2 linked regions of the Schizosaccharomyces pombe genome follow. The gene in region 1 interacts genetically with each later gene. Each region holds a gene or a part of one and is shown on either strand. Other genes may lie near its edges.

Evidence for each region.
Region 2: of yps1 (region 1) and krp1, extra expression of one rescues a mutant of the other (dosage rescue), as found in Schizosaccharomyces pombe (one study listed by BioGRID).

What each region holds. Positions count from the first base shown.
Region 1 is NC_003421.2:973,644-989,342, forward strand, and holds yps1 (yapsin Yps1), read right to left. Parts: upstream 7,292-15,699; 5' UTR 6,536-7,291; coding exon 4,970-6,535; 3' UTR 4,584-4,969; downstream 1-4,583. Other genes in the region: translation initiation RNA helicase Sum3, read right to left, coding at 1,118-3,028; protein SVP26, read left to right, coding at 3,798-4,481; vid21 (NuA4 histone acetyltransferase complex scaffold subunit Vid21/Eaf1), read left to right, coding at 7,477-7,485, 7,568-7,848, 7,906-10,600; sws2 (mitochondrial 37S ribosomal protein uS13m), read right to left, coding at 10,823-10,997, 11,068-11,348; P-factor pheromone Map2, read right to left, coding at 12,436-13,041; ura6 (uridylate kinase), read left to right, coding at 15,204-15,699. UniProt on the Schizosaccharomyces pombe protein: Cleaves at paired basic residues.
Region 2 is NC_003424.3:5,026,999-5,042,567, forward strand, and holds krp1 (kexin), read right to left. Parts: upstream 9,583-15,569; 5' UTR 9,572-9,582; coding exon 7,442-9,571; 3' UTR 7,189-7,441; downstream 1-7,188. Other genes in the region: Rer1 family protein, read right to left, coding at 1-296, 350-409; alpha-1,2-galactosyltransferase Gmh3, read right to left, coding at 2,002-3,000; RanGAP Rna1, read left to right, coding at 4,786-5,946; RNA polymerase I upstream activation factor complex subunit Rrn10, read left to right, coding at 6,480-6,605, 6,658-6,825; etp1 (monooxygenase-ferredoxin fusion protein), read right to left, coding at 10,210-10,448, 10,494-12,105; putative histone H3 lysine methyltransferase Set3, read right to left, coding at 12,904-15,483. UniProt on the Schizosaccharomyces pombe protein: Membrane-bound, subtilisin-like serine protease that processes the P-factor precursor and other precursor proteins. Essential for cell viability. Cleaves substrate on the C-terminal side of dibasic residues.

The sequences.
Region 1 (15,699 bases):
ATTAATTGAAAAGTTACTTATTTAATTGAGAACGTAAAAACATAATCATCAAGCATTTTTCTTCAACATTTACTTAAGTTACCCTTGACATTGTCCTCACTTATTAATATGTATGTCGTCAAAGCATATAGGTCCAAGTGGTTCACCATTTATTTCTAATTTTTTATTTAATTATTTCTTTTGATTGTGACTACTGCGACACAATAAATAAACAATTGTCTAGTCCAACTAGACCCTTAAATACTTTCTGTATCAGTGATCATTGTAGCTGCGTTACTTAATCTTTCGTATATATTTCTAGTATTTCTGACTGTACATATCACTAATTACATTCCTTAATTTTACTAATAACTAATTTGCCTAATAACATGTGTATAGTTTATTATTGCAATAAAATTTATTAATTTGCTCTAGCGCGCATCCTATTATTACAAATTGCAGAATCGTAAACCTTTTCCTAAAGAAATATTACCCAAGAACCACAATCCAACAAAAGAGAGACACTAACCTATTTCCAAGTTCTCTCGAAAAAAAGAAACACAGACTCGTAAAAAAAGATCCATCATTGATTTTTAAAATCATGAGCTCAAAGCCTGTAGAAATTTTCAACATATCAATAGATATATATAAAATATGTATAATATATGTCATTTTGTATGCCCGTCGTATTCGTACATCCATTTCGTCAATGCAAATGTTTCAAATATGCATATTCTATTTAAAAAGTCCCGTGAATAAATCATGCACGCATTGACTTCTGAAACTTTCGCCTCATCTTATTATGCAATAAAACACAACACCGCATACTAAATTTTGCCGGATCGTTTTTACATAACGCTTCCACAACCGCAACGATTAAAAAGCACACCCAATGAGCATCCGTCCAAGCCCAGCTTAAAAATGAAAAAAACCGGACCTAAACAAAAGACGTTTCGTGCAACTCACTCAATCACAGTTAATTAAAGCCAAATATTTCGCCCTTTCTGACATCCTCGCGCTTTGCAAATGTCAGCAAAACAATGGACACAATACTTCGGCCTCTGACTAAAGGAAATCATCAGAAGCCTGTGCATAACACAGATGCACGTAACCCAATAAAAATATTTTTTTAGGAAATTTACCACCAGGATTGAGCACTACCACTGTTGTAAGTGTTACCATGATGAGGAGTACGGCTTTCAAAGCCACCGTATCCAGAGTAGCTAGGGCCAGAGCTATAACCACTACTACTATTAGTAGGGCGACGGAAGTCGCGAGCACCATAAGCATTGCCTCCACGACCACCACGACCACTGTAACGGCCACCACGTCCATTACCACCAAAGCTGCTTTCACGAGCCATGGCGATCAAAAAGCTGGGGCACTCTTGATTGGCCTCTTGCAACAACTCAATCAATTCCTTAGCGATACCCTTGTTGTTACGGTTGAAAAACGCAACAGCTTGACCAGTGTTACCAGCACGACCGGTACGACCAATTCTATGCACATAGTCATCAATGTCAGTAGGTAAATCGTAGTTAATAACATGCGTGACATTGGGAATATCTAAACCACGACTGGCGACGGCAGTAGCGACCATAATGGAAGTACGGCCAGAGCGGAACAATTCCAAAGCGCGCTCACGCTCACGTTGGGTACGGTCACCGTGAATGCTTGTTGCGGGGAAGTTGCTATTCAACAAATAGTCGGTAAGTGTGTCAGCCATGCGTTTAGTCTCTACAAAGATCAAGGTAAGACCCTCAGGAGGTAAGGTGTGAAGAATATCAAGCAAGTAACTACGCTTTTCAGAATCTTCAACGTGTACGACCTTTTGAGTAATATTCTCCGAAGTGGAACCGACACGACCAACACTCAAGAAGACATAATCCTTTAAAAAGTCACGAGCTAAAAGTTGGATATCACGGGGGAAAGTGGCAGAAAACATGAGAGTTTGACGTTCTTCAACGCTTGTCATGTCAGCACCTTCCACAATGTGACGAATTTGAGGCTCGAAACCCATATCCAGCATACGATCAGCTTCATCCAACACCAAAAACTTAATGTTGGCCAAAGAAATACGACCACGATCGATTAAATCAACCAAACGACCAGGAGTAGCAGAAAGCAAGTCGCAACCTTGGTCAATTTGGCGGATTTGAGCACGAATATCGGCACCACCGTAAACAGCACAGGGACGCACCCAAGAACGGTAACAGAATTTACGAGATTCCTCATGAATTTGACAAACTAATTCACGAGTGGGAGCCAAAATAAGGGTGGTAGGATAGGCTTTGCGAGGACGATAACCCATACCGGCATCCTGATCAACAGGAACAGCGGCAGGTCCTTTATCGAAAGCAAGAGAAAGAATAGGGAATAAGAAACCAGCAGTCTTACCGGAACCGGTTTGGGCACAGGCCATCAAATCACGTCCGGATGTGACAATAGGAATGGAGTTCTTTTGAACTGGGGTGGGCTGAGTGTAGCCAGAGAGTTTAATGTTTTGAAGAAGATGAGAGTTCAAAGGAGGAGAAGTGAACTCATTAACAGGCTCGATATCTCCACCGGAAACTTCAACAGGGATGTCATCATACTTTTCGAAGTTAATACCAGTTGAAACTTTGGTACCATCAGCAACGGCACCAAATAATTGACGCTCCAAAAGAGTGTTACGGGCTCCGATAACGTGTTGACCATCTCTCCATTGGCCAAATCCACGGTTGTTACGATAACCACCGCCGTTGCTGTAACCACCTTCACGACCGCCACGGTAATTATTTTGGCGGCCCTCGCCACCACCATAATGACCGCCACGATTGTATTCACGGCGACCTCCATAGTTAGAGGAAAACTCACTAGGAGTTTGAGACCTAGAAGAGCCACGAGATGAGACAGACTCATCGTCGCCAACAGCTGGAGCTGCGCCAGCGCTTGGCTTATCCCTAGCAAAAGGAGGAATATACTTCCTAGGTCTGCTGATGTTTGTTTTTTGCAATTTTTCAGTCACAGAACCAACTGAATCTACTTGTTGCTGTACATTGTCGCTCATAATATTTTTTGTATTTCTGAGTTGAAGTGTTTGGTTGAGGTTAGGTTAAGTTGGCCATTAAATGCTACCAAATACACGATGGGACTGCCCTTTTTAACCCCTCAGCAAATTAGATATGTCAACGAAAACAATTTTTAACAAGGATAAAAAGTCATTTAAACAATTTAAAATTATTTTTTAGTTAATTTTGATACCAATATGTATGGGTATTAATAGTTTTTTTGAAACCTTAAGTCAGTACACGTGCTATCATCTGACTACGTTAAAGAATAAAAATTAATTGAAAGGTTTTACTATATAAATATATTTATAATCTATATAACTAAACATTTAGGCACCGTAATGTAGGTACACGATTGCCACTCACCAAAACTAAAAACCACCGTTATGCTCGTCTCTAAATAGCAGACTTAGTATACATATTAATCATTTTAATTGGAATAAGAAAATTCAACTTTCAAATTTACAATTATTAGCATACAGTTTGCTTTCTGTTTAAGGTCGTAGTGATATTCAGGAGTACCAGCCATGGTTTTGCTGTCTTCCCATACCAACCAATACTACAAAATATAGAAATTGATATTTTTATTGTGCCTTGCAACTTAAGAAATTGCTAAAACCTTTAGGCAGAAGCTTTGTAAGCGGTGCTGTGCATTAAAACCGTATTTATTCGACAAATCCGAACATATTTATCTATATTGAAGAAGTCCAAAGAAAATCACATTTGTTAAGATTATTAGATACGACATAATTAAAAGCGTTTTTCAAAATGATTGTCCTTAATGCTCTGTCGTACTTGGGTATCGTTTTGGGATTCATAGGCATGACCGTGAGTATCGCATCAGCTTTGTATTACATTTCAGAGTTTGTAGAAGAGCACTCTAGGCTCGCAAAGGCGTTTTTATGTCGGTTGGTTTATTTTATTATGGCGGTAATGGTGTTTTTGGTTATATTTGATGGTTTTCCTTTTTGGCTCTCGGCATTCTCCATTTTCAGTCATTACATTTATAAAATCAACTTTGATACCTTTCCTTTCTTCTCATTTAAGAGAATGAGATTTTTGCTAGCATGTTTCCTTATTGTCGCGAATCATATCTTATGGGTCCGCTTTTTCCAGGTGCATGAATTCCCTATTAAACCTCGTGGACTCACTTACGATTTTGTTGGTCAACGCCTTTTGACCTCTCGTGCTTCCTTTTCACAAGTTGCTTCATTTATGGGGGTATGCGTATGGTCTGTTCCTATTGGTATTTTTGTTTCCTTTACCGCTGCTGACAATACACTTCCTACCATTACAACCCCGTCTTCCTCGTCCCCTGATGCTTATTCTTCTGGATCATCTCGTCGGACGTCGAATGTACTTCGACAAGCTTATAAAAAGTTAGGTATCTTCGTCGAACGTAGTCTTACCTCTTTGGGGTTGAGTGATCGTTCAAGTGAACGTTACGTCTGAGTTGAGTTTGAGGGATGCTTGTCTTTTTAAATTAAGGATTCGTTTAACTTTACTGTAATGTCTGTACTTCTTATGTGATCATTTACTCACAACATGTTGCATCTCTTTTTTTTTTCGACTTTTATTTTGTATATAGTTTTCTTCATACTTTCTTCATCAACACTTTAACTTTTTCTCGGTCAGTTTGAGCGAACAAAATTATCCTTCTTTTACGTTTTGTCGTTGTTCTTTAGGATTGCCTATTGTTATTTTTTTCAACATGGAAATTGTATTGTCAATTTGACTTAAATTTCATCTCGGACGTGTAGAAAATGCATTTAAAGGAAATAGATGACGCCTTTTCATATTCATATGAAACGGAGTTTTTTACGTCTTGTTCATAACGATTTTATCAATAAAAATTAACATGATAGAAAGCTAAATATATCCAAGTAAACCCTAGCCACTTGTAAAATTGATAAAATACACATTTAATTAATCAGTATCGACTATATAATACCGAGTCCTAAAAATACAGCAGACATCATCATAATGACCATAGCACTTAACGGAGAAAACGAATTTCCAGCATTTGCAACCGCATTCTGAGAAATCAAAGAGATGTTGAAGGACGGAATAGCTGAAGAGGGCATACTACTACTACTTGTATAGGAATAAACGACGCTTTCCGAAATATTCACAGCAGACAACGATGTGGATGTGAAGTGACTAGTCTGAACCAATTGAGTAGATGCCACACTCGTAGGATATTGCGAACAAGTTAGAGCACCAGGAATGTGTTGATCCACGATGGCGGACAAGTTGGATGTTGCGTTATAAAAGGCTTGCCCAATGGCAATCATTTTTTGACTTTGATGATAAAATGTGTAGGCGTTTCGAAAAAATAACAAACCTAATACAATCTCACTATCCGTCGAAGGTCGAATACCTAAAAGACATATGTTTGAAACTTGCCCAATCACTAGCAACGATATCGGTACCTTGATAGTTGAATTACATCCAAATTGAAATATCAGAGCGGCTTCCAAATCAATTTCATCACAGTTTAATGCGAAATAGCCTTCGGATAAGTAGGCACCAGCATTATCCATCACACTGTAAGCCAATTCGGCAGGCAAATAAATATAAGTTTCACGAGTTTGAAAGTATGCATCAGTGATGATAGAATAATTAGAAAAGAACGTAGAGTTTAAGAACTGCACAGAGTAAATGGAAACGGCGTAATGCGTAAGCTTAGTCTGCTTCAAAGCGACAAACTGTCCCTGGTACTTTGACGTATCCACGGCTCCCAAAAGTAAACTTCCATTACCCTGATTATCCAGATACATACTAAAAGCAGGGTATGCCAATATATCCTCTTTAACTAGTTGTTCCAAAAAGGTTGGTGGTGAAAAACTTGAAATGGAATCCGAATAATCTATTGAATTAATTTCGGTACTGGCAGCTAAACCTAGCACGCCTTTGTACGGCAGCATTGAACTGGGAACATACTCCTTTAATGTGATGCCGAATTGGAAGTCCGGTAAAGCTTGATAATGACTGTAAGAAAGGGAGTCCTGAACATTAATTCCAGCAACTGTAATGTTATCGTCATAGCGGATAAAAAAAGTGCTTGGACTCGTAACAAAATGGAAGCTAGAAGATGCATTCCCAAAATAACAAGAATCACTTTCTTTTTTACAAAGAAAGTATCGCAGTTCATCCGTACTCCACTGAGTACCACTATTCACTATGCCAAGATACGCTGGATTAAACGCCATTACATTGTAGTAAGTCAACCATGTGTACGGCATGTCCAAATCTATAGCTACAGTGTACGAAATACTCGGACGACCGATCGAAAGGGTAGTAGTGTAGTAAGTGTAACTCTGCAAATCTAAAGGAAATGAAGTGATACCAGATGGAGAATAAGTATAGTCACGCTTCTCTAATTGATTTTCCTGGTTGGGAAAAGTTTTCGCAACGAAGTCCAAAGCTAAAACACCATTTCCCGTATATTGTAACGAAGAGACAAGTTTAATGAAGGAGAAAAATATTAAAATCCAAATCCTCATAATCCTTAAATAATTAGAAGAAAATATAGATGCAAGAATGTTTACATAGAGGTAAATTAAAATGACCAAGGTGATTATCAGATAAAAAGAGAAATAAAGAATAAGAATAAAGTAATATGAGAAGAAGAAATAAGAATATGCAAAACGGAACTAAAACAAAAATGCAAAGTAGAATAAAGAGCAGGTGCCGAGTTCTTTTGATGAAAGAATGTTTTAACGAAAGCAACGATGAATTGTTATTATCCCTTGTTATGTTGGGAGCAACAATTTGGCAATCTTGCTTTATAAAGAAAAGAAAATCCACAACAGAAAGTGGAAATAATCCTCAAGGGATGAGCAATAGATGCATGTAAAAACCAAATGCAACGCAAAAATCTAGAAAAACTTGATCATAAATAAGAGTCTTTCACAATTCCTAGCACGTCGTAAAATAATAAATACAAATTGAAAATAAGGGAGAAATAGATCACTTAACGATAGTTTTTTTAGAATGATATGATAGTAGGTTTGGCATGTAGCTCAACTGAATGTATTTTTGAATAATTTAAGTTGAAAGGGAAACGTTTTTAAAGCTTTGAAATATGCCGATAACCTTTATGGTAACGTCTCAACTTTTAAATAGAACAAGCGATTTCTCCGAGCAACAAAAAGACGAAAATAAAAGACAGTCTTATTGCTGTACTTGTAGTTCAAAACTGTGTCCTAGTAGAGTGCTATTTCCTTGTTTTTCTACTTCACCTAATATGGTGGTTGATTGCGGGCTCAAATCCCTTGGGGGGCCTCAACACCATCAGACTAACTTCGTTCACATTAGGTCTGAAAGTATACAGGATCCTTGAGTTCTTTATATCATCATACAATAAATATAAAAGCAAAACTGTGTCTTTTCTAGAATACGATTTGTATGCTTTTTCCAGCGTAATTCCGCTTAAATTGGGATTATGAAACAGGTACGTTTTTACGAGTCTTACGGGCCTTAAAGTGATAATTTTATTGTACTTCGATAACTAATTAATATTTTTAATTAAAAAGAAGGAGACCAAAACCAGTCAAATTGCTTTAGTCGATGGTGAAAAATTATCGATAACAGATTCTTTTGCCTCCCTTTTTACTCTAGACGAAGAAGAAGAAAACGACTCTGTAGACAATGAAGAGATTAAGTTAACAAAAGAGAAACATGAAAAGTTACTTCTTTTATTTTGGTTGCATTGCAAGTTTCCTAATGGATTAGAATGGCTTCATTCATCAAGTGATCTTTTACCAGAGCAAGTTTCTGAGTGGTTTAACTTTTATCAAAAGTATCGTTTTAAAAGGTATGTCTCATTGAGTAACTTTTTGTATTTTCCTCAAATGTACAACTAACATGCAAGGGGGCGAAATTTTAATCTTTCAGCTAGAGAATCTGTAACTCCTATCGTTGAAGAACCGATAGTTCCCGAAGAACCCGATAATTTGGAAGGAGTTTCAGAGGAGACACCTTTAAAAGAAACTTCCCTAGAACTTAGCGAGGAGGAAATTATAACGTCAAAATCTCCCATACCTTCACCTGAAACTATACATAAAAATATTGACGTAGAAGAGAAAGAAACTATTGAACCAACAACACCCGTAAAAGAAGTGGAAACCACTGCTCATGCTGAAGAGGAAAAAGGCCCTTTGACGCCAGATAGCGAGTATGCTGCTCGACAGCTTACCGAAGAACTTGCAAACAAATCCTCTCAAGAAGAAGGAGTCGATAAGCAATTAAGAGTGGTTGAAGCTACCGAAAAGGAACATGAGGAAGATGGGAATGAAGAAAATGTGACCGTTACCAAACCGGTAGAGGTTGCGACTGATCAAGTTGAGTCTAAAGAAGTGAAAAAGAAAGAGGTATCAGAGACAACGGAACCTACGGCTCCCCCTGTCACTGTTGCAGAAGTTTTGGAAATTGAAGATAAAGTCCCAAAGGTTGATGAAGTTGAAGAAGTTCATTCTCCTGAAGCCAAGGTCACTGAAAATGATGTTGAGAATGTACAATCAGGTATTGATATTGAAAAAACTATACAATTATTAAATAATCAAGAGATTCCTTCGGAACAACAAATCATTTCCGTTGACAAGGCCACTGAATCTCCTGTTCAGGAAGTAGCGGTTGATGTCAACGAGAAGCCAGTAGATGAAATTGTTGAGCCTAGTAAATTACAAATGGAAAATAAGTTACCATCGGAAAAATCCCCTACAATTGACAGAACTGGGGTTGAAGCTCCGCTTTTTGAACTTTCTGTATCTATGCCACTAACTTTAATTCCTCCTTCAAAATTTTCTGAACCGGTGAAACCAGAGCTTTCCTCAGAAGCATGGCTGCTTCGAACAGAAATGTCGCCTTTACATTTAAGGTTGAAAAATGCACATAAATATGTTCTATCAGATAACTGGTCTCATGCGTATCGCGAGGAAATTGTACGACAATCACTACATCATTTAACGGTTGCAAAAGAAAAAGGTATTTGGTCCTTTAGACAGCCCAAAAGACAAAACGAGATGCCACGATTGAAAACTCATCGGGATTATGTTTTGGATGAGATGCAATGGATGTCAATTGATTTTTCTCAAGAGCGTAAATGGAAAATTATATTGGCTCATAGAATGGCGAATTGGGTAATGGATTACCATCAAGCTAGTGATAAATGTACTGTTTGTACTCCGGCTTCGTTGTCAAAGAATAAGAAGCCGTACATGCAAGAGAATGAACATCAGAAAGACTCTCACGAGGAAACGTTTAATGAACAAATAGTGAGCCATTTTAATCTAAATGATAATAATAACAACAAAGTGCTCTCTATTCCCAGGGATTCTTTACAGTTTTATAATGCTGTTTTTTCGGATGATATATTTGTGACAACAAACTCCGAACAAATTCAGAACTGCGTTTTAAACGTTCCTATGTACGGTCCTCCTACTGAAAACAATGAATATTGTGAAGAAATATCTGAAAAGTACCCGATCACTCCTGTGTCACGTTTTGCATATGCCAAAACAAAGCTTAAATCCACCTGTGCAAAGGCTTCTAGGAAACGTTTGTTCAACCAATTGGAATTATCACCACCTGAGTCGTTTATGGAAAAGAAGGCGAGAAGCGATGAGAACCAGCTAGATGGAAATAAAATTAAGGATGATAATCAGAAGCTATCCTCAGTAGGAACCTTTAGTGTGCGGCCTCCGTATCCGCCTTCTAGTAAAGATATTCGTCCAGAAGCCCCTTGGTTGCCCGAAGAAGATGAACTCCTTTTATTACTCTTGCGACGATATTCCTTTAATTGGGAATTTGTTGCCAGTAGGTTAACACCACCAGGTTTGTACATACCGCTTGCCGAGAAGCGGACTGCGTGGGATTGTTTTGAAAGATGGATTCAAGTGGATCCCAGAGCCGCCAATGTCCAATTGACTGGCTCCCATGCAAGACTCGCTCAGCAGAAATTAGATGAATCCTTAAGACATTCGGATAAAGTTAGCCAACATCTATCCTTACGGGATGAAGGAACACCTAACCATTTGATTAAACATAATTCTTACTTCTTATTGCCAACTGTATCAAGACATTACCGACCCATTACTATATTTGAAGCTATACGAAAGATCCTTAAAAAGAGAGAGTTTGCTAAAAAACCCACTATGACCAAGAGAGCGATTGCACCATCTGCAGCTTCAACTGAAAAATTGCCGCCGGTTCCTTCCCCTCTCGAACTTTCTCGTTTGAAATCTGAGCGTGAGGCACAAATACAGCAAATACAGGCTCAGAGAAACTTTGCACAATTGCAATCACAAAACAGGGCTCTACGGCCGCAAAACGCCGCTGTTGCTGCTGGTGCACAACAACACAACCAGCAACTAGCAGCCTTTCAAGCTGTAGCTGCTTCACAAAATAGTAGTAACAATTCATCAGCGGGTGTCTCGCCTATAGCTGGTAGAATGGTCCCCAGGCTTCAGCCATACGCTGTTTCCAGTTCTTTAAAACTAACACCTGAACAAATTCATCAGTTGCAGCAAAGGAAGCAAACTGTACCTACTACTGAAAGGACACAGTAAGTATCGCCTCAATGCAATTTTTCGATTTATTGTATTTTTTTTGAGTGCTGTTGTATATTAGAAGGAAATTACGAGGCGAGAGCTTTTTCTCTCACACAATAAAAATAGAATACGTTTTCATTTTCGTATCCCGGTTGTTGGTTTTTTAACAGAATCAAGCAAATCGAGGTAATACGAAGTGTACATGATAAGTGAAGTTTGATTTCATAAACGTTATTTTAGCTAATGAATATGTTTTAATTTTTGAAAGACAGACACCATTCTCGGTAGACAAAAACTCCATGTGATGGGCCTTGTAGAAGCGGGCGACAGTGTCATATAACCTCGTCGTGGGACTTTGTTTAGCTTCTTAGCAGTCTTTGCATTCGTCCGAGTGTTCTGTCCATTAACGGGTAACCTGAAATATTCATTAGTTAAGTTGAAAAAGTTGTCGAAGACAGCTACGTTCACAAATGATCTTTTCATACCCGTTTACATGTCTCATTCCCCGATAGCATCGGATATTCACCAATCTTGAGATATCAGCATTCCGTTGACGCCGTAAGTCACCTTCAATAGTCATTCCTGATAGCAGTTGCGACAACGTTGTCAATTGAACATTTGTCAGCTCTCGAACCCTTAACGTATTGTGAAATGATAATTTTGCGCATATTTCTTCAGCCTTGGCATGTCCAATTCCATAAAAAGAAAGTAGAGCAAACCGCACAGGTTTATCGTCGTTTACAGCCACTCCAAGTATGTATACCATGATGCAAAATCTCAGATATCAACAGATGAGACAGAAACCAGCTCAATAATGAAGTGGACAATTTGGTTTTGTAATTCAGTTCTCTATCAGTAATCAGAGAGCTTAAAACCGTTCTGAATATAAGTATTAGGCTTTCTTGTAAAAGAGTGGAGTGGTGGTGTTTAGATATAATACACAGTTGGATCTCTCATATTTTTAGAAAACTAGTTAGATTGTACAGACTCCGGGCCTAGTAATAAAAGACAATTTGAGTAATCATTAAAGAGCTACTATCTAAGGTGTAATTTGATGTTTAAGAAGACCATAAATAGGGCAAGGTAAGACGAAGAAAAACAAATAAAGAAGAGATATCGTCAAAGGCCTTCCTTTTCTGTTCAAATTTTAAAATTTATGAACTCAAATGATCCCTTCGTTCAATGGTCTCAGTTTAAAATTTATTATTGAAAAATATATTCACGACATTACTGTCTCTTACAAAGTTGAATGTTCAACAGTACATGCGGAAGTACAGTAAAAAGTTTTGGAATAAAATTTTATATATTCTAACAATGCTTTGCGGATCTCAACTGTCATATATATTTCAAGTGCAGCTCCTTTACATTGCTATGCTTGTGCAGGTCCTAGGCATTTTAAATGAGCAGTAGCTTTCCGCATTTCAATTGAAACTTCAGTGCTTTCTTCTTATATGGGATATGACTAATTTTATCGCTTAACACAATTGGTAGTGTTCATTTTTATTATTACTTAAGCAATCCGCAAATCATGTGGTTTAATAGTCAGTTTTTAAATTGATGTTTTATTTAACTTTAAAAAACAAAGCAACTGAAAGAAGTATAGTACTGTAGATTTCAGTAATATTGTAACTACTATACGTTTTTTCTTTTTTTTTTTTTTTTTTTTTTTTTTTTTTTACAATATGAAGACTAAGATGAAAATTAAAAATATTATTGCGAATAGGAATACAGATCGTATGGTAAAATAATAGATCGAAAATAGCAATTAATTTAAAAAATTGCTTCACATGGCTTTGTAAAGATGTGTGGGCTAACATACTAGAAAATAAAAAAAATATGAAGATAAAATGAGTTTAGCTCTCAAATTTGGCAGTAATATTGACATCTGTAATAGTGGAATTCTCTGGGACAGTCATGATATAAAACTGAAGAAAGCGATAGTATTCTTCATCCTCTTCCTCATTCTCTTCATCTTCTTCAGTGCGCTTTTTCAAGTTGGGTCTGTCAGGATTAACAAAAGTGTTCCAACTTTGGTAAGCACGAAGGAAATCAGCATAAGTTTTTGCGGGAGCAGCTTCGAATTCGCGCTTTTTCAAGTTGGGTCTGTCAGGATTAACAAAAGTGTTCCAACTATGGTAAGCACGAAGGAAATCAGCATAACTCTTCTCTGGGGCAGCTTCAAACTCACGCTTTTTCAAATTGGGTCTGTCAGGATTAACAAAAGTGTTCCAACTTTGATAAGCACGAAGGAAATCAGCATAAGTTTTTGCGGGAGCAGCTTCGAATTCGCGCTTTTTCAAGTTGGGTCTATCAGGATTAGCAAAAGTGTTCCAACTTTGGTAAACACGAAGGAAATCAGCATATGACTTGCTAACTGAAACCACACCAGGATCGGCAACTGGAATAGGTGAGGCAGCAGCAAGTGAGAATAAAAGGGCAATGACAGCGGTGATCTTCATAATGTATGTGAAAAAAATAAAATTTCGTTGATAAGTTAGAAAAAGAAAGATAGTTTAAGCGATGAACTAGCAAATAAAAGAAGAAAATTATAATTTGTTGACTGATTCAAAAAAAGGGAGAGTTTAAAAAGGCAAAATTCCAAAAGAAAAAGGATTAAAAGATTAGAATAAGAAAGATCGAAGCAAATTTACAGAAAATTAGCTAACGGAGCAGGTTTGTTGACAAGAGGGATGTAAATTCACACCCAACGCGAGTTCTTGTAGAGTGAAGAATAAGAAATAGAAAGAGTGAATATGTAAAATAGAAGACTTGAACGAATTCTGGTTTTCTTCTGGGACAGAATGCCTGTATTTATACATCTTTGTAGTGCTCCGTTTCCCTCAATTCAAATCTGGAATTCTATGCTTTCAAACTGTTCATTGTTGACATTAACCGCCATTTTTTAATGACTTCCCCGTTTTCGTTTTATCGCTGTTTATCCTGATTGGTTGAAGATATTCGCTTATTTTTTTGTCGTCCACCCAAAATGAACTTCTATGTACAGCGACCAATCAAAAGACTTATTAATTTTAAGCGACTTTTTTCTGGTAGCGGCTATTTTTTTTATTGGTTAAAGGTTTTTTGATAATGTAAACAATAAAACTCTATCCATTGTTCTTTGTGTGTACTCAACCAATAGCATACCGCCATAGAATGAAAAAATGAACTTCAGATTGAAGGCATAGAACGCCTCTGGCTACTTGTAGCAGATATAGATACTGCAAAGCAACTAAAATAGAGCTTCAAAGGAGATGGAGCACGCAAAAAAGAGGAGAATAAACAAATACCCGTTCCCCTCCGACTAGTGGGCCAGTATTTGGTGTACTAGATATTGTGCACGGAGAAAGTACAAAGGATTGCCGTTGCTAGCATTTAATTTCCAAGGAAAGGATAGTAATATGATAGTAGGAAATTGTTTGATACCATTAGTGCTTTTTTTCCCTCGAACATGAGAATCAGGGCTTGCTAAAACCATAGTAGTGCTAGTTCCGAGAATCCCACCTTTTCATTATACCTTCAAAAAATAAGAGTACATTTCGAAAAGGTTTTAGTAAAAGGATTGGTGAAAATAACGAATAAACTGCTGCTTCTTTACAGCTTTTTTAATTCTTTTCGGCGTTAACATGCTTCCTTTCGTTCTAAAGTCATATAACCATATCATTATACTAATAAACTGTTTAATATAATTTTACTCCTTTATTATGACTTCGCGCTATACCATTGTATTTGTTAAATTGCTTTAGCGCGTTAAATGGAAAGCATTGATCGCAAAATCCAACGTTTGCAATACTTGCGGCTATAGACTGGAGATGATTTAAGAATTGGTGTAATAAAAGGATTCTGTAACTCATGGTAAACGCTTCTCTAATCTGGGATCTCGATACTCCTTAGCGACATTTTCAATATAGCAAACATGCAACAGAGATATTCATTTATAGGTTGGATGCTAGATCGAGAGGTTCTTATTCATACATTGTCTTGAATTTTTTAATTTTATGAAAGAAAAAAAAAATCTTTTTTTTCTATTCTGCTCAGGGCATGGGCCGCGGTTATTCCGCGGCCCATCCATATGTTTTGGCTCTTCCATCTTAAGTTGTTGGTTGCGTTTAGATTCGTGTTCAAAGTTGCTTACAACATACTACTGTATTATTGTACGAGTAGACTCCATATACTTCAACAGTACAAAGTCTCCTTGTATATTAATTTGTTTTAGCGCGCTTTTCTATTTTTTTACTGTTTTTCCACTCAGACCATAAATTAAATAGGTATGTAGCGTAAATGTCGAAATTTTTTTCCTCTTCCATTTTAGTGCAAACGGATGCCTTTTTGAAGACTCATGCTGAAAGAAACATGAAAAAGTTAATTCTCCAACACTTTTTTACCCGCTCAAATAGTGTTTCACCTATTTTGCAAATCCTTATTGGTATGGGTTAGTGTGTTTCTGGTTGCGTTGGTTATTGAGACAGTAATTTCATCGTTACATTCTTTAAAAGGTTTTTTTTTTTACGACTGTGACACAAACGCGTAAACATTTGAGAAGAGAAAAAAAAAGGAACTTGTGTGCTCATTTCATTCCTTATTTTATAACCAGCATTCCCAATTTACTAATGTGTTGTAGACAATGTATAACGTGATTTTTGTTTTAGGCGGTCCTGGTGCTGGAAAGGGTACACAATGCGATCGTTTGGCCGAGAAATTTGACAAATTCGTACATATTAGCGCTGGAGATTGTCTACGCGAAGAGCAAAATCGTCCTGGCAGCAAATACGGAAACCTTATTAAAGAATATATCAAAGATGGTAAAATTGTGCCCATGGAAATAACTATATCCCTTTTAGAGACTAAAATGAAGGAATGCCATGATAAAGGAATTGACAAGTTCTTGATTGACGGTTTCCCCCGTGAGATGGATCAATGCGAAGGTTTTGAAAAGTCGGTCTGCCCCGCTAAGTTTGCTCTTTATTTCCGTTGTGGTCAGGAAACCATGTTGAAGCGTCTTATTCATCGTGGTAAGACTAGTGGCCGTTCTGATGACAACATTGAGTCGATCAAGAAACGCTTTGTTACATATACTAAAGCCAGCATGCCTGTCGTCGAATATCTGAAATCACAAAATC
Region 2 (15,569 bases), on another chromosome or scaffold:
CAAAACTTGAATTCTGGCAATCTACGAATAAAGGGTCGAAATTCATCGTCTTTGGAAGTAGGAAGAACTCCTTCTTCAATTTCTTCATCTTTCATTGCTTGCTCAACACTAGGATCGAATTTTGGAGTCAAGAACGCAAGGAACAGATTGAGCAGGTAAATGGCTAATGTATAGCAAACAATATACCAACCGCGAACCAGTAGAATCCTAATAAAAAATAATGCAATTAATCCACTAACAGTCAGCCATCTATACGTTGTATAAGGTATGGTTCGGTCCACCCAGTGTCGATACAACTAAAAACACGTTAGATTTTCTTCTTTTCTCAAGCTAATCAAGTTATTCTTACTCGAACTGCAAAGTTTTTCTTCTCTTTAACATTTTCTATATGACGCTGAATGAATTCCATGCTTAAATACTGTCAAACAGACGATAAAATGGTGGTTGGTAGTGAAGTGAAATATGTATTCAATTCAGACATATACGCGCTACTGCCAGACTCCATTTACCCCCTACACTAGAATACAGTATACATTATAATGTGTTATCGGTGAATGATATTATTAGTTTAAAGTAATATAACGATAAAGTAATAATTTGTCTCTACAGGACTCGAGAGCGGTAAGCGTGTAAAGAAAAGATTCAGTGATAATTTGGCAGTCAGAATTACTTTTTTTTTGAATAGATTAGTATAGTTACACCACGGTTACGTTTACCAATTTGAAGTTCCTAAATATGATCAACTCATTAACCGATTAGAAATTTAATGCATATACTTACCAATACGTTAAACTGTATACAGCTCACCTTCGACTTCATTAATTTTGCAGAAAAATGGCATGTCGATTTGGGTGTTTATGAAGAATTCATAGTAGTAAACGAGTCGTCAATTTGTTGGAAAAGTCAAGAGTAAAGATAATAATCTGAAGAATTTGTCTGGGTACTCTTTAACATTTACAACATGACACTTCTTCTTTCGATGCAAGCTTTTATAAAAAGGTTCATTAAGCAAATGTAGCGGAAATAACAACTAATGATCATTGAGTATAGCCGGTGCTGGACATCTCTAATAAAGCGATGTCAACTTCTATTTGAAATTAACGGCAAAGCTCTTTTCAAACCAGCCATGAATTTTGCAGTTATCATCAACCCTAACAGCATTATAATTTACACAAATGTAATATAATGCTTGTTTATTTTATTTCGAGGTTCATAAAGTCAGATAACGTATGCTTTTTCAATTCATGACAATCCTGCACAGCAAAATAATGTGACAAATCTACATTGAATAGCTTTAATAAAAGGAAAAAGAAATTAATGAATTCAGTCTATAAAAGTAAACCAGATCGACATTTATACGCAGATTAGATTGAAGACAAAGGCAAGGAAGAAATGTATAGAAAAAGACAAGATTGCAAGCATTGCCAACTTCCTAAACAAAAAAAAATACAAATATCAAACTTAGGATCAAGCGATATAACTTTACCTACCCAAATATCCACAGCTTTTTAGGAGTAATATCGATTATGTTTCACACAGGTAGCATAGATTCAATAATAATTGAAAAAAAGCCAAAGATTAAGTGCAATAAAACAAATATAATAAAAGATTGGTGGTTTCAGCCTTAAGCTTATGAATTAAACACAATTAATATTTGTCTGGGGCCTGCAAAACCACCTATAATATAAGTGTCACAATTAGTTTATATAGCAATGTATATTAGAAAAATTAAAGAAGGAATTAGATGATTATCCACCACCTCTGTAACAGAACACCGCATATAAAATAAACACATTCTTCCATTGAAAACAACCGTAACTAGCACGGTTAAGGAGGCAGACTATGCTTAGATAATATATACACATACATAGAGCATAATTGTATAGGTAATTATGTAAAAGGAGTGGCATCCAGTGGCTTGTGTATAATAAAAATAAAGACAAGATGAGGGGAAATAACCAAATGCATTAATAATGGTAATACTATTATTATTAATGCACATCAATGAACCCTCTCACGATATTCATCCCACAAAACCTGACAACGGTTCTCCACCCAACACCCAGCAAAATGTATAACCAAATGACCTTCTTTCCAGCCCATTTCCGGCTGGCCAACAGGGTAAGAATTAATAAGGGTTTGAGGTAAAATTCCTATTATAGCAGCAATTTCCGGGTGATATCTAACAAAATATCCCAAAAGGGCCTGTTCATGATCCGCAACCTTATTTTCTCTAAAGGATTTATCGCCCCATAAGTCCAAAAACAGAGCCATCATGGGCGACCTTCTAACAAAGAAACTTCCCGCGTTTAAGCCATTCAAATCTTGAGAAATCAATAGCCCTAAAGAACGAGCACTGTCAACAGTATAGGAACTTGGGGTGAGACGTTCGAGATCAGCACTAAATGGAGATATCATAGGTTCATTCTTCATTAACTTTTCCACTAAAACGTCAGGTGACAAAATATGTTCTTGAATAGAGAGTTCTGTGTTCAAAATTAACGCATCTTGGTCCAACCACCAAATCCATTTCGCATGAGGATGCTTATTCATTGTTTGTATAATAGCGGGCATTTTGGCCCACACTGGAGGAATGTTCATTTGGCTTACATTAACATATTCAAAGCCATAGTTGTGATGCTTTGCGTAGTTAATTCGGTTTTCTATGCATTGATTAAATGTTTCAGGTGCCATATTGCCACTTGAACGTCCATCACTCGCTAAGAGGATTACTATTTCATGGGATTTGGGCTCTTGAGGATCATCCTCGTTAATTGTCGCTTGATGATACGTCGTGCTAAGGCCTTGCATATCTTCATCCAGAGGTACTAAGTAGTCGTATTCTTGTACACTTGGTTTGGAAAATACATCTTGTAAACGTTCTAAAGCAGGTGAAGCAGAAAAAGAGTTTCCAAATTGGAAGTAAATGAGAAAAGAGCTAATCCCAATGATTAACAACACGAATATAACACGAGATAACTTCCACTGTAGGACTGCCATTTTAAAGATTAGCAGATGTTAAATGCAAATTAATAAAAAAATAAAAAATAAAATTTAGTCTTTTAGAGACAAGAGAAACTCTTTTTCAAGTTTCACAAATATAAACTGAGATTGGATAAAAGCAAAACAATAAGATACCAAGAATGGATCAGAAATTATGAATGAAATGGGAAACTTTCTACTCTTTCTCGGTAGAAAATTAGAAAGCCGTTTTAAAAATTAAAATGAGATTTGTGATATTCCAAAGAATACTACGTTTGAAACACGAATCTTCGCCCGTTGACTCAAGAAACGAGAGAAAACAGTAAAAAGAAATTGAAAATATAATGTAAATTATAATAAAAAAATATGAATGAATTAGATTCTTTAAAAAATGATTAACCAGATGGACCTGGAATTAAAGGCAGTGTGTAGTGGAAGGATTGAAATTACCGCATCATGGAGTCAATCATCATAAATTTACGGTTTCCTCTACTTATCGTATCCTATTTATAATAAAAGAAGAAAAAGAAGAAAAATCTGTATGGTAATGATTTATGTTCAAAATAATGAGTTGTTCCTTTAAAATCACGTTTCCAAACTTTTAATGACATGATTCACAGTACTTAAACATTTTAACCAGTTTTATACGTTGGGACAAATAACAGGAATGGCTTAATTCAGCAATACGTCTAAATCAATGTCATGATTGAATGGGAAAATAATCAAACGATTCAAATTGTTGAAACAGGTAAAGCAGATCAAGTACTGGAATGCGGACTGAAGTCCAATTCGAGAATGGTTACAACTATGAAATGAGAATTAATTTACTGAAAAGAATACAGTATCAATGGAATAGCTTTCCTGATAATGTGAAAGCTGTTTAAAGAGTATTCTATGTGTCTAGAGTGCAGACTCGTGGATTTTCACAGTAATGAATAAGAAATGTTAAACTAAAAATATCAATTGTTGTTATTATCTTGATTTTTCATATATCTGTTAAACTCCCGCTTTCCGATTTTCTTTTTGGGTCAACTCATAAATGTATATGTGTGAGTAACTGAAATGATCACGAAACAAGCGGAAAGCTGAAAGATAGGGATACTCATTTCAGATCTTTTTGATTCTTCATTTTTTGGAAGTCACCAAGCTCTTTTGGTCAATATTCCTTCGTTCAACTTCGTATTCTTATAAATGGACTAGCGATGAGGCAAAAATCTAGCAATGTTAATTGCTAGAAATGCAATTAAGTTAAAGCAAACTTAAGCTAAGAATTCAGGACTAAGGTCACTCAAAAAGGTTCTTCATAAGATCCTCTATACTTAGTCAAAAAAACAAACTATATGCAACAGGATTGTCACAGCTATTTTTTCAAAAATGAATGATAGATAAATGTCAAAAAAGCTCAATCATCCTATTTACAAAAGTTTTATACATGTCTTTCAGGAACGTATCCGAGCACTAATGCACCACTCCGACATTGAGTATCTTTCGGTTTGCGCTAATCTGATCTAATAATTTAAATGACTTCTAATAGCATAGAATCGTCTTAAAATTAAACTCATTAGCGAGAGATCGCATTTGAGTTTGTAAATAAAAACAGGTTGAGTAAAGGGGGTATCCGTCAAAAGAGGATAAATTTCGTTCTTCTTCTACTTTGAATATTATTTTAGTTTCTTTTTTAAAAGCCATGAATTCAAGTGACTGAAGCATCTATCCTCGATCAAATTTAACATACACAGCTAGTTCACACAATCTTTCCTCACCACCATACCTGCTATATTTTTTCTTTCAACAACCAACTCCATGTCGCGTTTTTCAATAGAAGGGAAGTCTTTGAAATTAGATGCAATTACAACTGAAGACGAGAAGTCTGTATTTGCTGTTCTGTTAGAAGATGATTCTGTAAAGGAAATTGTATTGTCTGGTAACACAATTGGAACCGAAGCTGCTAGATGGTTGTCAGAGAATATTGCCTCAAAAAAAGATTTAGAAATTGCAGAGTTTAGTGATATCTTTACTGGACGTGTCAAAGATGAAATTCCTGAGGCTTTACGTCTGTTGCTACAAGCTTTACTCAAGTGCCCAAAACTACATACTGTAAGATTGAGCGATAATGCCTTTGGCCCTACTGCACAGGAGCCCTTGATTGACTTTCTTTCAAAACACACACCTTTGGAGCATCTTTACCTACACAATAATGGACTCGGTCCTCAAGCTGGCGCAAAAATTGCTCGTGCCTTGCAAGAGCTGGCGGTCAACAAGAAAGCTAAAAATGCACCTCCCTTGCGTTCCATTATTTGTGGAAGAAATCGTTTAGAAAATGGGAGTATGAAAGAATGGGCTAAAACTTTCCAGAGCCACCGTTTGCTACATACAGTGAAAATGGTGCAAAATGGTATCCGTCCCGAAGGTATTGAACACTTATTGCTTGAAGGATTAGCATATTGCCAAGAGCTAAAGGTACTCGATCTTCAAGATAACACATTTACGCACTTGGGCTCTAGCGCTCTCGCTATCGCGTTGAAAAGCTGGCCCAACCTTCGAGAACTAGGCCTCAACGATTGTCTCTTATCTGCTCGCGGTGCTGCCGCAGTTGTAGATGCTTTTTCTAAATTAGAAAATATTGGGCTTCAAACGTTACGCTTACAGTATAACGAGATAGAGCTGGATGCTGTCCGGACCCTAAAAACTGTGATTGATGAGAAAATGCCGGATCTTTTATTCCTTGAATTAAATGGAAACAGATTTTCGGAAGAAGACGATGTTGTTGATGAAATACGTGAAGTCTTTAGCACCCGTGGTCGTGGTGAACTAGATGAGCTTGATGATATGGAGGAACTTACCGACGAGGAGGAGGAGGATGAAGAAGAAGAAGCTGAGTCTCAAAGCCCTGAGCCGGAGACTTCTGAAGAAGAAAAAGAAGACAAAGAACTTGCTGATGAGCTATCAAAAGCTCATATTTAGAGCAACTACTTTCCCTCTCGAACCCTGCTCCGCTGTTTCCGAAATTTTTTAACATATTTCTATTGTTCATGCTAGGCGGTAATGAACGATTGTGGTCAACGGATGGTCTATATCGACCATTCGATTTCCTTCTGCATTTTTATCAACATTCTGTCTTTTTACGCGGCAGGACCGATAAATAGTATTAGATTAAATCTGTATATGACAGAAAAAAAATTCCCCTTTCAAAAATGGCGAAAAGGTTCTTTACGTTTTATTAATAACCCACTTTAATTAAGTATTGGGTCAATATAATATGGTTTGGATTGTATCTGTGTAAAGTTGTTTTGTTGTTATGTCGTAAAGCCTGAACTATTTTTTCAGTATGTCTGTAAACCTCGAGATAAATTTTCTGTAAGTCGCAGTTAACTTTTAAGAATGTGGGGATTCCATTACTTGAGCTTGGTGTTTCCAAATATGATTGTACTACTGCAAGGACGAATTAGAAGCTTCACCTAGCATAGTACATACTCTACGTCCAACGCCATCTATTAATGTCAAATCCACCAACTCGGCCAACTTTGTATAATTTGGTGAATGCTGATGGTGAATTGTCTTACAGAGCTCGTGATTTAGTACAGGATTTTTCTGTTCCAATTCCACATGAACTGCCGGATCCTGTAAGTTCACAGCTTCTGCCAATACTTGTTTAACTAATCTTTTTATGTTTAGGATTTAGTTCATAGCATCCAGGATTTTGCAACAGAATACATGCTTGCGACAGGGAAAAAGTCATTCGAGTGTTTGGATGAAAGTGCTTTATTGGGGTTGGGATATTTGGTGACTGAATGGATGGATGCTATGGTTACTGATTGTTTGGAAGAATTTGAAGAAAGATGAATTATCCTTGTACATTTTACTTTTCATTCGTTTGTTTCGAGATGACTCCGTTACATTTGTATGACTAACTTTGATGATTTTTCTATATGGCGTAAAGTTGTTAAACAGCTATGAATGCGTATTTGTGTATTGAAATTTTTATCTTTTGATAATTGTTTAAAATCAACATTACAGATGTAATTACATTGCTTGACATGTATGCAGGCTGCTGAAAAGCGAGAAGCAACGATGCTGTTAAGATTTTAACAAGCTTTGCGATACATTAGCAAACATATTAGGACTTCAACTATTTTTTTTTTGCAAAGCCTTTACTATTAAATCCGAATACTGTTACCAGTGAATCGTAAAGACAATCACTTCAACTACCCAAAGCATAATCCAATATACATTTTATTACTTGGTATTTATACACGCTATCTAATGATTACACTTCAAAGGGGTCGAATTAAATACGTAGTCCATGCGTATTTATTAAAATGCAAAATTAAGAAATGCCAATTAGGTTGTTTCATATCGATGAATGAAACGAATGACAAGTGACATCTAAGAAGAGATCATACTTTAAAAAGTAGTCCATATTATTTTAAACAGAAGTGAAAAAACGAGTGTTAACTTTTCAAGCAATTTCTTGCTGAGACAATGGTGGGGGTGCTTTAGCTTTCCAAAATGCGGAAATCCATGTCCATATGACAGCAACGAAAATAAAGGCAAACAACAAAAAGAAAGTAATAAATGCAACAATTTCTCTATAAGAGGGTTCCAATACAGGTTGGGTAGGGGGTAGGACTGTAGGAATCGGTATATGAGACGTTGATGTAGGTGTAGCTGTGGCAGATACGGTGTAAGAAGTAAATGAAGTAGACGTAGGGCTCAACAAGGTACTTGAGTTAGTCAGATCGCTATTTGGTTCAGAGTATATTCCCAAGACCATCTCCTTTGGAAGCTCAAGAGTGTCATAAGGGAGTGGTGCAGTATTAGAAGGGTTTTCAGATTCTCCCCACAAAGCCAACTGCCAATTTTCAAACGTACCTTCATGCTTTCCACCACTTCGATCATTAACCAGTAACTTCCAAACCCCCTCTGGAGGTTCGGCCCAATGCTGCACAGTCATGAACGTCCAGTCTAAAAACCCCTTACTATTCTCATCATACGGTCGTTCACTGGCAAGGATTGAACGAATGCCGGAAGGGCTTTCCAAGAGAATCTCCAATGCTCCTCTTCGGTTAAAAGGTATACACACCCTAACAGTGACATGTTCTAATCTTTTGAAGTTGCTTTTCTCAATCATATCCTTAGTAACGGTAAATTCGCTTACCATTTCAGTTATTGTCTCATTGTTAACACTCCCGAATGATTTATTAACATTAATTTCTGGAGCAATGAGCCAGGTTTGTGGATTCACGACCTGCCAATCCTTAGCCACCTCGACGAACTTCGATGCATCCAATTTACCAAACCCAAAATGATGGGAGAACTGGAATCCTGCTGGAGTCTTTTGCCATTCTGCATTTTGAGAAGGGCTATCAAAAGGAGATGCTGAATACACTGTAATATGCTGAATGTCTCTCCAACTAAGGTCAGGACGAATCGAAAGCGCCAAAGCATATACAGCAGATGCTAACGGAGCAGCCGCTGAGGTACCACCATGACTTCTAGTACATGTGCCTTCAGGATTTGTAGTTAATATAGACAAATGTGAGCCACTACTATATGCTGAAACTAATTGCGCAGCACACACCTCACTGTAAAATGGGATTTTATGTTCAGCATCAACAGCACCAATGGTAGCACTGAATATGCTATTCGTGTAGCCATCAAAATTGCAATTATCATGATAATGGCCTCCATTTCCAGAAGCGAACACAAAAATCGACCCAAGACCATTTCGGCCATTAAGGACACCGTTCATCAACGCACGACGAGTAGCCGTATTAGGAGCATCCATTGCTCTTCCATCATCTGCAGGGCCCCAGGAACATGAATATATATGATTTGTTTGAAAGCCATAATTCAGTGCTTCCGATTCAACAGCATCAGTAATAGGGGCCGAAAGAATACGAAGTCCAGCGACCTTGGCGCGTGGAGCTATGCCTACGCCACAAACGTCGTTCCAAGCTGCAGCCACTTCTCCAGCACAACGGGTGCCGTGCTGATCATCTGATAACTTTGGCAAAGGGTCAGCAATGTTATCATTGAAGTCCCAAGAACCAAGCGAAGTGTAAGCAGCTTGCAAATCTGGATGTTTAAAATCAATTCCATCGTCTACAAATGCAACGGTAACATTCTCACCGAAGTAACCGGCGTCCCAGACTTCACGTAGATTCAGATCGTGTCCAGGATTATTCGAGTTGAATATGTGCCATTGGCCATAAAAGAGAGGATCCGAAATTCCAAAATGATTAGAGAACTCATTCAGTAATTCATCAGATTCACTCGCATCCCGCTTGTAGCGCCATCTGGGCGTCTGGCGCTCCAATTCCAAGATTCCGGCATCAATGCCTCGTTTTCGAATTGAACTTTGGACTGAATCATCGCTCCCCTTATGTAGCTTAATTAAATGGTGATACTTCAAATTTAATAAAGGGCGCACATACTTAGCACCAATGGCTTCTGCTGCTACTACAGGATCAACTTCAGGTTCCACTTGAACTAGAAATAAATCATCGTTTTCTAATGGAGAGCAAGAAGAAACCAAAAACTGTAAAAATATTGCAAGAATTGGCCCACATAGCAAAGCAGGATGCATGGTGCTGGGACGGTGTATGCACTAGGTGGCTTAACAGATTATGGTGTCCACTGTACCATAGTGGTGGCTATGTACAATAAAACAGCCATTCGACTAAAACACATATAAAGTGTAAAGCTGTCAGTATTTAAACTTTTCCAATTAAGAAATACATGGCAAAAGTGAGCAATTGCTAAACCGTGTGTCTACTATAATACCATGTTATATATTACATTTCATCAATACAGAAAAATAGAGCATCTACTTGTTAATCATGAAATAACTTTAAGCATTTAATAGTAAAAAAAATATAAACGACGATGAAAACATTAAAAGTATGAAATTTAGAAACCATCTTCATCCTGGTCTTAGTAATATTACAAGTTTTCATGATTAAGTGTAAGATTTGAAAACAAAGGGTTAATTTATAATTAAAACAACTGTAGTCTGGATAAAGAAGGAATATAGTTAAAATGTAAAACCATGTGCCAGGTTGACTATTTAATTAGTTATGTGCATTTATTAGCTAGGCATGAACTTGATCCAAAAAAAAAAAATGAAAGTTGAGAATACGGATGAGATAGTATACTTTCGGAAGAAAATACTTTTATGGAATACTAGTACGAGACACTTGTCAAATTGTAAGCATGTTGACAAAATCAAGCTTTTGGTCTCTCCAATCGTATGTTTCTAGTCTGAGCAGGAATTCGTACACGGATGCCATCCAAATCTTTTCTTAAGAGTACTTGGCATCCCAATCTGCTTGTTTCCTCAAGACCAAATGCTAAATCAAGCATGTCTTCTTCATCTTCTTCCGGGGGATCCAAAAGTTCGTAATGCTCTGGATCTACGATAACATGGCAAGTCGAACATGCAACAGACCCTTCACAAGCGCCTTCTAAATCGATATTGTTAGCATGAGCGAGATCTAAAATACTATCACCTTCATTTCCCTCAATCATGATTTCACGTCCTTCAGGCGTGACGAAAAAAACTTTGATTCCAGTGCCCGGCAAAGGCTTTTTAATTTCGGAATGGAATGATGGGCGGAATGTATGGAATTGGCGTTGTTGAGTCAAAATGGAAGATGAAATGCTACTTTTGGGAGGAGAAGAGATTAATTTTGTCCATGAGCGGATGTTTTTTAAAGCGTATTCTGGATGCAAGCGCTGAGCAAGTGATAAGGCCGCGGTTAATGTAACAAGACTACCGGCTTGATGAAGGGCTGCCAAAGGTACAGGGACAACATAGATTAGAGTCATAATACCCAAAGTAGCTTGAGCAGTTACAACGCCTGTAACAACGTTAATGCTAGTTTTAATCTTCTTAGGCAAAATGTTTCTTTTAGCACGGGAAAAAATAAAAAGACCACATGCAGCAACAAAAGTAGTAATAGCTAAGATACGGTGTTCGAGTTGAACAAGACTTGGGTTGTCAATCATGTTTCTCCATATAAGATCGGACTTGTCGTCTTTCCTACAAAACCTTTGATCAAATAACTCGCTTTTAGATGGAGCAAGTCTTCCTTCGCCCATTTCCGGGAAAGTACAATAAATCATTCCGGCATCCAATCCAGCAACAAAGGCACCGGACAAAAGGGTGATCAGTACCAAGCCAACAAATGAGTTAACACTAGTACGAAATCCTTTCATTTTCTGAACTGAAGAAACCATTGAAGTCAATTGAGATGTGGAGCCACTCTTCATAGATTTCAAAAAGGCATGTCGTTGAAGGATTCCATGCCCAGTCCACACCAAGCCAATATAGAGAGCAACGGCAGCGGCTAAATGAGTAGCCAAGCGATAATGACTAACACGCGGATGAGAACCATCACTGAAGAGCTCTTCTGAAAGACCACTCTTGACCATCCACCAACCGATGACTCCTTGAAGTCCAACGAGTCCCGTAAGGCCGATTAGTCGCTTGCTTAGCCAAGGAGATGCCCTTTTAGTCACAATCATGTATATGGAAGGAAGAAGGATTGTCAAGCCGATTCCTCTACCGAGGACACGATGAAACCACTCCCAGAAAAATATGTTTTTAAACTCATCCACTGTCATATGGCTGTTCAGCTTCTCAAACTCTGGTGATTTTTTGTAAAGCTCAAATTCTTGGTTCCATTGTTCATCAGTAAGAGGAGGAATTACGCCAGTGATGGGCTTCCATTCAGTAATACTTAACCCGGATTCAGTTAGTCTAGTAATGCCACCTACAACAACAATTGCAAGAACAAGAGCAGAAGATCCAAGCAGCCAAAAGGCGACCTTTTTACTCGGAATTTTTTCGGTTTCCTGTAGGATGCCACCTGGTGTAGGAGCGACTGAGTTACTCAGCCGGCGAGCAAAAAACTTTTCAAATGAATTTTTATTAAACTTACAATCATTCAAAAATAAATTCTTAGTCCGTGACAAATTAATTTCATTTAAAACACTCGATCCAGAGAAGCTCCTGCTCATTCTCCAACTTGACCTTCCAAGGCAAGAAATGTCGCAGCCTTTCCGTAAGGGCTGAAGCAGGAACTGTCTCATCAGACCTGATGAACGTGAAATGTTCATTGGTAATTGTTTACTTTTGTTTGCGTTTCGCTTAAAAAAGTAGGTTCATGGAGAGAGAGGAATGGTACCTAACCTCCCGGTTCTATACCACAATAATCTAACGGCGCACTTTCAGAGTCGCTATAAGTAGACAAGCTATATTAACGTAGGCCGTTTGATATATACAAGATCTGAGTGGATCGTCGATGAATAGTTTAATTTGATGCGACAATTCGCTGAAATCTGCACGTAGCATATTTGAATCGATGTTTATATTTATGATACTTAATACTCAAAATGTACTAGCTTCATTTGCGTATCCAAAAAGTTATTTAATCTAGTACATGTCGCATACGGAAATAGCTGACATCTTAAATAGTTAGTTCTTATAATCTTACGAACCGAAACTTCTATATGACAAACATAAATCATTTAACTGCTATAAATTAATATTATTATATTGTACAATGTTCTAAACGTGCAAATTAGGAACAGAAAAATGCAACGACTGAGGGTTCGTTGCTCTGAATCAAAAGAAACTAAAAAAAAAAAAAGGAACTAGAGTTTTCGCCCAAACACTTAGTCATTAAATATTTACAAACGAAGAAGAAAAGAATGCAGAAGCAGGTGACAGTAAAATATGCTCCGAGTACCAATCATCATAATAAAAAAATGAAATGAAAATACATATGAAGGTAAAAAGATGCAGTCATCGTACCAACTTTAGAATCGTGAAAACTTGTTCGTATACCATATCCAATAAAAAAAATCATCCACACATTTATATGGTTTCAAGATTTACAACATCTTCTAGAATTTTTATCGCGTAAATGAAGGGTTAGAAACTGTAGCAGCAGGAACGGTGTGAGGCCTAGCTGTATCGCCATGTGCTTGATTATCCTTCGACTGTTGATGCAGAATGTTTTGTTGACGTCGTTGTCGATACTCAGAAAGAGATAGCTTCTTCGGTGCTGAGGTAGGAAGAGCAGAGGCTGAAGTGTTACTAGGCTTGACTACACTTCCTTGGACCAGATTCGAATTGGGCTTGTTTTCGCTTCTTGAAGTATTTAACGCATTCGAGATATCATCACCGTTGTTGGCTTTGTGGTCCAAAATGTTTGGATTGTTCGTAGGAAATTGGTTGTTTACCAAAGCATGGCGACTCGTTATAACTGGTGCTGGAGCTGTCGGCAAAGGAGGCGTAGTTACAGGAGATTTATCAAACGAAAACCCGACAGGACTAACCGAAGGTGAATGGGATCGAGTGCCATTCTGTCTAGAAAAGTTAACGTCAGAAGACCTTTGAGTGTCGTGAACATGCGATTTATCTTTTACAGTCCTTAACGTATTAAAAAACATGGACCCACTCTTTTCTTTACTCGACGGCTCGAGTTTCAATTTTGAATCTGAATTTCTATGGAAAGAAGGATGGACCTTATGTGGTCTGTCACCTTTAGTCTTAAAGGCTTCCGGCTTCCTTTCGATAGATAGCGATCTTTTATTATAATCAGGTTTGCCATGAAAATCATTTGCAATGCTACGGCGTCTTTTAACTGACGGCAAATGATCAACAGAACCATGCTTTTTGTGGACTGTCGTAATAGTTCCTAATCCTCTTTTGCAAGGAGAAGTTTTGTCCAGCATATCTGGGCTTGTTCGAGGATGTTGTAATGGTGAGGCTGATCGCCTACTTAGTGATTCTCCAACATTAAAAGATGGAGGAGTTGTAGGGGTTATCGAGGATTCTTCAGGTTCCTTTGCTTTTTTCAATGGACCATCGGATTGTAATGCAGCATCGGGTGAAATGGGCGATAAGACGTCTGCAATGCCCACCTTAGAATCAGTGTGTAAATCAGCAATATCAGTTTTCTTGTCCCTATTAGAGGAATCTTCCTCAACAGAGGGTAGTGGAGATTGTAAATCTTTAGTTGGTTTTTTCTCCTTCACAGATGGCTGTAACTTCGGCTCCATGACTACATCGATTCCTACACTTTCTGTGGGTAATGACTTAACAGCAGGCCATTTTTGCAAAATACTAAGACGGTACTTATCTAACCAAAACTCTTTCAAGGATTTGGCATAGACCGATGTGGGGTTTGAAGGTTGCGGTAATGATTCAGCAGGGCTAGGGGTAGAAGGGGTTGAGGAAGGTGTCAGAGACAAACGGTCTTTTGCTACACTGACACGGTTTGCAGTAGAAGCGCGGCGGGCCGCTTTAATATATTTAGTAACTCTGGAAAAAACACAGTTTTTCTTATCCTGTGAGGCACATTCGTTAAACGACAGGAAGGTAGAAAGCACTTCTGAAAGTAATTCCAACTCTTCCATATTGAAGGAGGGTCGCGACATACCAGGCGCAAACTGGCGAAATGGATGGGAAATATCGAGAGTCCAATCCCCAATAATCTCTGTTTCCGGAGCTATGTGAGTAGTTGAATAGAGGATAAATCGAGGAACACTGTTAGACCCATTCATGTAAACACTTGAAACGACGGAGTTTGACTGACAACCTTTACGCGCAAACCTCGCTTTTGAACCAGCAACCCGTGAGTCAACAACAAGCTGAGAATTTGAGTCAAAAAAGACATGTGGCTTAGGAGCCCCCAAAATATTGTACTGGTTTTTGGGATCACTTTTGTATTCATTCTGCGTACAAACCCTTCCTTTCACCTCCATAATGGGTGTATTTGGAGGAATTTCGCAAGTTGACACCAAACCAAAGCGACTACAACAAAACTTTGAAGATGATATAGGTACGACTTGGCATCCATCCATTAAAACTTCGGATTCATCTAAATTCTTTAAATCCAAATTCTTAGAATACTCAAGCGCAGATGCAGAAAAGGTGTTTGATTCCAAAGGGACGTATTCCAAGTGAAACGAATACACATATTCGTTAGAAGCCTCGGTGATTGGAGCCTCTGGTGGGTTGTTAAGGTGGTTGGATCTTCGTCTGCGATTCTGAGAATGTGGAGCATGAGCATTGGGCAATGTTGCACCAGTCACACTGTTACGATAAGACCCCGAGTTCGAAGAGTTGGTAGACTGTGAAAATAAAGCGCCATTAGCGCCTGTGTTATTGCCTTGTCTCGGTGACGCAGAGTGTGTAGGACTAGCACCATTTTTGCCAAAACTAGTTCTTCTCTTGTTGTTGGAAGAACGGGATCGCGATAATATCCTAGACTGCTCTTCTTCGCGCTGTAACCTAGCTAGTTGAATTTTATGCGCCTTGTCGGCATCGATAGGACGAGGTTGGCATTGTTCACAAAAATATTTTTCAGGAACATTATTTGCATCTATGTTTACACAAACGGCGTGTTGCCATACCTCGCAACTTTCGCATTGGATGGTGAATCCGTCATCATCCTCGAATGGACAAACGCATCGTATTTTCCACATGCTAACTTAACCAAAGAGAAAACGATCAACTTATAACAAAGTAAAGAAGTATTTCATAAACGCTAATTTCTGTACAGGAGCAATTT